Nothobranchius furzeri: one gene and its partner. The protein of the gene in region 2 interacts with the protein of the main gene of each other region in a pairwise test. Links are inferred from orthologs where the notes say so. Each region holds a gene or a part of one and is shown on either strand. Other genes may lie near its edges.

The links.
Region 1: the proteins of chchd2 (region 2) and lhx4 interact in binary tests that used the Homo sapiens proteins (3 or more experiments, as listed by UniProt). The two-hybrid records come from large-scale screens. The link is inferred for Nothobranchius furzeri from reciprocal best matches to the Homo sapiens genes CHCHD2 and LHX4.

What each region holds. Positions count from the first base shown.
Region 1 is NC_091748.1:57,322,051-57,326,460, forward strand, and holds the start of lhx4 (LIM/homeobox protein Lhx4), read left to right. Parts: upstream 1-1,374; 5' UTR 1,375-1,775; coding exon 1,776-1,854; intron 1,855-4,410. UniProt on the Homo sapiens protein: May play a critical role in the development of respiratory control mechanisms and in the normal growth and maturation of the lung. Binds preferentially to methylated DNA.
Region 2 is NC_091753.1:38,185,659-38,190,204, forward strand, and holds the start of chchd2 (coiled-coil-helix-coiled-coil-helix domain-containing protein 2), read right to left. Parts: upstream 2,912-4,546; 5' UTR 2,771-2,911; coding exon 2,721-2,770; intron 1,814-2,720; coding exon 1,552-1,813; intron 1,344-1,551; coding exon 1,196-1,343; intron 254-1,195; coding exon 243-253; 3' UTR 1-242. Other genes in the region: insertion element IS630 uncharacterized 39 kDa protein-like, read right to left, coding at 3,993-4,546. UniProt on the Homo sapiens protein: Transcription factor. Binds to the oxygen responsive element of COX4I2 and activates its transcription under hypoxia conditions (4% oxygen), as well as normoxia conditions (20% oxygen).

The DNA of each region.
Region 1 (4,410 bases), on a different chromosome or scaffold from region 2:
TATTCTGAAATCGTCTCTGCAGGGTTCTATGTAATTTTAAAGATGAAAAAAGAAAGAAATTATCATCAGATCATCCATTGCCCCACTAAAACAGATGTTTATACATCCGTCAATTATTCTAATTGAATTTCCATTTGCTGACAAGTTAAGAGCGTTTTTTTCTGGGTTTTTGCTGGACCTCGATTACAACCATCAGAGTAGTTTCATAGAAACTAAATCATTTGAGATTTGGAGAAAAAGCGTAGATTGTTCATAGAAGGCCACAAGCATGGATGGATAGACCTGACTTGAAGACTGACGCCTCATATCGGTAGAAATGTGTCCATTTTTAATCATCTTAATGTGTTTGAGTTTTATTTTTATTTTACTGAATCACACCAGAAACTCCACGCATGCATGCAAACGGGATTGTGAGAGCAGAATGGGCGGTAATACGATAAGATAACAAATAATCCACACAGAAAGCAGAAGAACGACGGTATAAGTCGGGATAAAAATCAAAACATGCACATTTCATGCACTTTCGGCGCAAAACAAAATATGTTTTGCACGTCGTTGTGACTTGATAAACAAAAAAACAAAAAAACGCACTTTTTAAGTGCGGTCACTCACTTGTGTGCAAGTTTGAGCTTGTTTTGAGTTATTTATGAAGCAATTATACGCAATAGCTGTTAACTTTTTTAAATAAGCGACTCTGTAATGCAGGTGTGTGTGTGTGTGTGTGTGTGTGTGTGTGTGTGTGTGTGTGTGTGTGTGTGTGTGTGTGTGTGTGTGTGTGTGTGTTCTGCGCATGAGGTAAATTGAAAGCGAAGATTGAGTTCATCTGGGTTGAACTCGCGGCCTCCAGAGGGAATACGTTCTCCGGGAGAGCAGCATCAGACGACGAGCTCTAAAATGAGCTCTGTCAGGAGGATTGCGTCCGGACTCCTATATCCCACCTGTCACTGCCGCTCGCGACAGGAAGTGCTCCTACAGGTGATCCAGGTTCCTGTGGCTTTGACTCAGACACGTGTCCAACAATATCCTCTCAATGCTGCTTCTTGTCGCTTCAGAGAGGAAGTATATTAACCATGGTGCCTGAAAATATTATTTTTAGAGAATTTTTGTTTTATTATGGCAGCTTTTCGTAGAATTTACACGTGCACTTTGTGTCTTTTAACTAAATAAACATCTTTCTGTCGCTACGTTTTTTTTATTTCACCTTTTATTTGCTAATAATTGTGAAAAGCACAGCTCCATTTTTGCATGCTCATTTTTCTGGCTTGGTGGACTCCAAGTCTTCCTGGCCCGCGGCCCCTCTGGAAGTCACTGCAGTGCCTTTTATGCTCTCATAAGCGAGGTTCCGCATCTCCGGAGACATTTTACATGTTGGGCTACTCTCTTCCTCTTCCTCTTCTCCTGTCTCCCTTTCTCATGTACACCTAAGACGCCTCCTCCGAAAGTGGGAGGGGGCATCTTCTTCCTGTCTCCTATTGGCCCCCGGTGCGCCTCTGCCGCGCTGACGTCAGGTCCCGCCGCCCCTGCAGCGCTGAATGGACCGAGCAGTCTGTCTGAGCTACTCCAAAAACAGCTCAGTACAGCGCGGAGCGGGACGGCACGGCGCGGACATCACCGTGAGACTAGACAGGGAGCTGGGATAGAGGTTTCACCGGACACTGGTTTGCAGAGCGGAAACGGGACTAAAACACCAGCAGCGTTTCCCCCCCGCACACTAGGCAGGACGGGGGAGTGCGCCCACCGTGTTGCGGGTGTATGTGCGTGCGCTTCGGATCACGATGATGCAAAGTGCGGCGGTCTTACCGACAGAGAGTCCTGTGAAGAGTTTACCGGAGATTCTCGGAGTGCCACTGCAACGTAAGACACTATTAAATCCCCTTTTTTCTGTCCTGCAAAGTGGGACCCGCGCAGAGAGAGGGGTTTAGTTACAGTGAGAGGATGAGGAGAGGAGACCTGAAGCCTTGCAGGCCAGTGATGTGTCATGCTGCTTAGGGTTCCAGCTGCAAAAGTAGGTATACGTTTTAGACGAGAGTCTTTCACGAGCATCCAGCATGTGTCTGCAGCCACCTGCAACCTGCAGCAGCAGAAAAGCTAGTTCTTTATTTCCTCTGATTTTGAAGTTTGATATATTAAAATGGGAGGGTTGATTCTTTGATTCGGCCTCAAACTTTGCCACACACACACACACACACACACACACACACACACACACACACACACACACACACACACACACACACACACACACACACACACACACACACACACACACACACACACTGAGGCTGTTAATTTGTAAACGAGGCTGCGTGGTCAAGAGATCAGACGCAGTTGTCATCATCGCCGTCAAAGGAACACACTTTGGCTTTGCCTGACACTCATTATTGGTCAAATTAAAAAGCTCCACAGTTTAATCTAATTTCAAGCTCTGACTCACAAACGGGTTATTACCAACACTTCATTATTATTAACATCATTATTATAAGAGTTAATCATGTTCTGCCTTTTAGCACAAACAGAAATGCTTTACATCTGTTGTTTTGTTGTGTAGCCCCCTTCATATAATCTCATGGAGTAAGATTGACGTGCAACTGGATCCGTTTCTGCTTTGACCTAATTATTTTTAATAGGCGAGTTAAAATGTACAGATGGAGAGGCTAATAGGCGACCAGCCCCGAAAATAATCCATGACAAAACGGGATGATGCTGAGTTTATTACCGCACTGCTGCTTCATGAGATTATTTACAAAACAACCCCAAGAACATTCGGTATTTTTAAATAGTCACAGATTTGCAACAATATTTAATATTTGATGAAAAACTGGACGCTTTAATTTATTTTGTGTGAATTTAGGTTTGTTGGGCATATTTAAACCCGAAGACAGTCTAAATGAGGTCGGCTTATGCTCTTTAATTTTATAAATCGAGACAGATTAAAAGATTGGTTAAAGATCCTGCCACTCAGCCTCCTGCGGCGCCAGGACCCAGTAAAACCTGGATTATTTTACCAGTGAGAGAAACTATCTGAGCATTTTATATCATGCACTGAAAGCTCAGCTGACTCAGGACTGCGACTGGATCCAAACCGTTAACAGCCCGATCTTAGTCTGGATTAACGAGTGTCCACTTCAGATTTTAAAAATCCATTGATTAATTAAAATGAGAGTTAAAGTGACGCACTTCCTGTGGGAACAGAAAAGAGAAACGTGGAAAGCTGCTTAGAAACGTTCTGGATCCACGAGGTCCTCTGCCTCTCGCGCGCTCGCGCACGCGCACTGAAGCTGGAGGATTTCCGTTGCCAAGAATCGTGCTGCTTTTATTTCAGCACCTCGTCTCAGCTCCATCCACCCACCACTCTGCTCCAGATGTTCCAGATGTTTACTCACATTTAAAGGCCGATTTTTAAATATTTTTAATTCAGTTTTGGATTAAACGGAGCCAACCCAGCACGTGCGTGTGCAGAAATACAGTTTTGCGTTTACTCTACATTATTAACGTTTTCATCCATACATCCATTTTCTGAACCCGCTAGGGTTGCGGGGGGAGCTGGTGCCTATCTCCAGCGGTCAATGGGCAATCAGGCGTGGTACACCCTGGACAGAGAGCCAGTATGTTAACGTTTTAAAAGTCAAATTCTACTGAAATGTGTAAATTACAAAATCTATCTGATATTATAAATTTCATTTTAGTTTACTCAATTAAATAATTATGAAAGGGGAGATGTATAAAATGCATACGCGGTCTGGTCTGCAGCGTTTTGTTTTTCAGGCTGGTGTCGAGGAGATGGGATTAAAACACCCAGGGCTTTATACGCTGATTTTAAAGTTGAGAGGTTTTCTCCAAAATAAACAGCTCTGCTGCGTGAGTTTAGGGCTGCAATCTTCTTCTCATATTGTTTATTTTTATACAACAAAACCTATATATTCTCACCTCAAATAATTTGTAATTAGTTGTTTATTTATTGTTTTTAAATATAAAACGAATAAGAAATGAGCCAGTTTATGTGGCTCGGGCATCTGGTCAGGACGCATCCTTAACGACTCCCTGGTGAGGTTTTCCGGCCATGCACGTCCAACTGAGAGGAGACCTAAAGGAAGACCCAAGACACGCTGGATAGATTATGTCTCTCGGCTGGCCAGGGAGCGCCTTGGGGTTTCCCCGGAAGAGCTGGCCCAAGTGGCTGGAAAGAGTCTCGGCCTCTCGCCTTACCCCCGCGACCCGACTCTAAGCGGCTGAAAATGGATGGATGGAAAACGAATAAGGAGAATCAAAATCAGTCATAGATAACTATTTAAGGAGAACAAAAACCAGCGATGCACTTATAATGTCTGTAAAATAAACATCAAATATTGGTTTTATTTTAGAAATATAAAGTCTAGCTAAGGCTGTAGTGAAAAGACACGTGTTTCTGCA
Region 2 (4,546 bases):
AACTAAGTATTTTGCTTTTGGTACATTTATGCTGATGAGAAGGATGGTCAAATTTAGAATTAACTGAAAACATGACACAGCAAAATATATAAACAGTATTTATAAAGACTATGGTTACAAACTGCAGCAGAATCCTAACAAATAAATGCTGATGATCATAAGAGAAATTATGTTTATTGACTGATCCCAGATAGTAACGATGTGATGAGGAGTGATACTGATGCTGCAGTAGTGTCTCCGTCTCAAGGTAGACCTTTGGAGGAAAAAAAGGTCCAATAAGACAAACTTTTTCTTTTCCTTAAGAACAAATAGCTGTGCTACTGAAATAAGAGAATATAAAAACTGAGTTTATTGTAGAGGTATTCAATTCCAGGCCTGGAGGGCCAGTTCGTTTTAGAGGTTTCTCTGCTCCAACGCACTTGATTCAGTGGTTGAATCACCTGTGCAGCAGCTCATCAGGCTCTGCAGAAGTCAGTTAATCACCTGCTGATTGAAATCAGGTGTGTTGATGCAGGGCTAAAACTAAAATGTGCTGGATATCGACCATCTAGGCCCAGAATTGAATACCACGAGTAACAGAAAAAAAGAAGCACACTACTCCTCCTCCTGGTCACATTAAGTACTGCAACACGTCACCAGAATAGTGCAAAGTCATGCCTTTGTCCCAATCTGCGGACAGCAAACCCTGTCCATGCCGTTATGGCGATTGGCTGAAGAACAATTAATTTGCAGCCTCATTTTAAAAAAAAACAAATCAATATTAGAATATTGACAATTTCTGACGGATGAACAATCAAATTTAACTTTAATTCAGTTAATGACTAATTCACTTGTTATGCTCGTTAACATCTCAGATGTCAAAAAGATTTATTAAAACTGAAACAACAGCATGACATTTTTTTAGAGCTCTTTCCTTTAAAAGCACATTTATAAAATACGATTCTGTAAAATCTTCAGCTAAGGATGATTTCTAGAGCACAGGACAGAGGACAGAGGAGACAACCGAGCACAAAACAGTTCAATCGCATGAGCCAGTGGTCTTTGAAGTGTGAATTACAAAGTGTTTAAGTGATTTGACAGCACAATAGAAATGGCAGCAACAAGAAGATGAAGACGGAACAAAAATAATCTTAACGATAGAAATATGAAAAGGTCAAATATGTTTTTTTTTTTAAATATATATATAAACACTCACCATTAGCAAACCTGCACTGTTTGAGCACCTCGCTGAATCCCTCACAGAGTTTCAGGTCACTCTGGTTCTGGGCACATTCAAGGAACTGCTTCATTTCATAGGAGCAGGCCTGCTGCTGCAGCTGCTGAGGCTGCTGCTGATACGGCTCCTGACAGACAGGCAGGTAACTTCATGTTTACATTTAAAATATTTTCATAATGTACAAAAATAAAACATCTAAATATCTTCAAGAAAAAGCAAGTATTCTATGTTTTGTCTATAACCAACACTATTTGAAGCTATGTCCTAACTGTTTGGCCTGTCACACTCTGATCTGATTCTATTCCAGTCTAATGGTCAGCTACACCTCAGTATACCTGGTACGTGACATCAGGCTTGGCAGGCTCAGAGTTTCCTCCACTGAAGGCTCCAGTCATGGCATGGCCGAGGGTGTGTCCTACTGCGGAGCCCACTGCTACACCAGCAGCAGTTGTGGCCATCTGTGCTAGCAAACCTGGCTGTCTGGGTGCAGCAGCCGGTGCTCCTAAGGCAGACGGAGGGGCCTGCATTGGAACTGGAGCATGGGATGAAGCAGGTGGAGGTGCAGCACGGGCCATAGGTGGAGGAGATGGTGGTGCCCTATTGTAAAGAGAAAAGTTCCACTTAAATGTCAAAGCAAATACTATCTTTCTTCTCGAGCTAGTTAGGATTTGCATTACTCTTAAATTTTAACGGCAAAAATGTGTTCAATACTGCACAGAAATCCACATGGGCCTTAAATGTCCAGCTGTTTAATCAAATAAAAGGTTGTGATTGCAGATTCTGACTCCATCACAGTACACTGTGAACGCGAATAAGAGCTTAAATAATTAGGAGTGTTTAAATAGTCTGGCTTGGGGTTATTTAGGGTCATCGAACACAGACCTGCTCTTAAGTTGCACAACAGGGTTCTGCAGGTTTTCATTTTATTTGAGTAAAAACTAAAGGCCCACAACCTGTTTCCACCAAAAACCAGCAAAATGTGGGTAACAAGGCAAAATTATAATTAATTTAACTAAGGTGGAAAAATAAGTTAGAGATAGTGACTGACTGAGATAACTACTTAAGTTTTAGGTAATTTACTTTTACTATTTATAGAGAATGAGAAAATTAAATATTCTAAACACTGTAGAAACACATCTCAAATAAAGTGTATTAAAGTACGACATACTTAGAGCTTGGTATAATAAGATGTTTTCACTAGTTTTAATTTTGCGCAATTTTCTGTTTTGAAAGGTTCAAAAACTCAACCTTTTAGCAACAATGACATCAAAATCACATGTGACCTTCATTACTTTGGTCGAAGACATTTAATAAAACATTATCTTAACATGTAGAACGGTAAAAACTAGTCTAGATGCCATCATTATGTTATTTAAAGCACCAAATTACATTTGAGTTTCTAGCAGTCTCAGCCTGACACGACACTTGGACGTTAGCATTTCTGTTAGCTCACATAGCTAATTCACAACGTTTCTACAACTTTAAATAAATTATATTTTACTACCTGGCTGGAGGGGCCATCCTAGAAGTCCTGCTTCTGCTTCCTCTGGGCATTTTAAACTATAAGGTAGACTTAGATGATTAATTTATTAAAACAGCCACAACACTGATCCACTAAGCCTCACGCTCGCAGTTTTATTTCGACCTTTGAATAATCCGGAACTTTCTACGTGTTACATCATTTGTCTTCCGACTGACTTCCGGTTCAACACAAACAATTGTGTAAAAGTTCACACTAACAAAAAGGCTCACTAAACGATTGACGTTTGTGGATCTTTGCATATATTTGTTTAATTAACCCCCCTGGCTGAATGTTTACATAAATTAATTCAACTGTATTGTATACTTAATTTGTAATTTGATGTACACTTGCACATTGTTAAATTAAATAAATAAATAAATAAATAAGCAATTGCGTAAGAGAAATGTATGGCTTATAAAAACTCCATTATATATCTCATATACAGAGGCTGAACCTAAACTACATTATAGTCATTGAGATATTTTTTTTTACAAAAAAAAAAGGTTTCTTAGTGTCAAGAAAAGTAATTTAAACATTAATGTGCTAGTATTATAACATTAACAATAATTAACTAAATGGGAAACATGCAAACATTTTAAACCACCAAACTGTCTTTATACTTTATTTCCACAAGGCAAGACCAGTAAGCAGCAGGTATGAGAATTCTTTACCAATTAATTCTTAGGTAGACCCAATACCTTATTTGCTAAGTTTATTGTGTTACAGTTTTTCTCAATTGTTTACCCACATTTTCTGAAAGCATGCCCCATATTTTCAGAACTCTACACACAAATCCAGAAAATAACCACACACAATGGGCAAAACCCCTCACTTAACCTGCAAAATTAAACACATTCAAAACAATGTACTTTCTCCTCAAAATGTGATTTTGTTGTCAAATGACACACACAAACCATCATGTGAACAGACATTTATAAGAACCAGCAGAACACTCATGTGCTCAATGTTAAACACTATGATGAATGGAAAACACGTCCTCTCCATTCATCATAATGACTAAAGCCTTTTTGGTTCAGTGTTATACCTACTACAGACAGTAAACACATGCATGTGTTGTTATTTCAGAATATTGTTTTTACACTCTGAACACACAAATACATGGTAGAAATTATTTTATTTTTCCCACAAAACATTGTACACAATGTTTATCCCATTCCCAACCAACACAAAGTTGCACACATAAACTACATCCAACAGAAATTTACTGTATACAGTTACAGTAAAACAATAAATCTATGCTGCATCCTCTCTTCTGTTGCGGTCTGGCCACAGCGCCTCATCCACATCACAAGCAATGTTGTCCCTGGCCAAGCAGCGGGGGAAATATCTCCTAGCATGGCGATTCCGGCCATGAAAAGAATCAGCTGCTATATCTCCACATGCATCCTCCATAGCTTGGAGAAGAGGTATACGGGTTTGTGGCTGTCGGTCATACACCTTCCGTCTCCATGCAGAAAAAAATTCCTCAATGGGATTGAGGAATGGAGAATATGGAGGGAGGTAAACAACTAAAAAGCGTGGGTGGCCAGTGAGCCATTTACGAACCACAGCAGCCTGGTGGAAACTTGCGTTGTCCCGAATGACAACGTACCTGGGCTGTTCTGGACCATCTACCTGGTCTGGTGGAATGAGTGTGTTATGTAGGGTGTCCAGGAATGTGATCAGATGGGCGGAGTTGTAGGGGCCAAGGGTAGCATGGTGATGGATGATGCCATGGTAGCCAAGCGCTGCACACATTGTGATGTTCCCTCCACGTTGGCCAGGGACTTCAACAATGGCACGCTGGC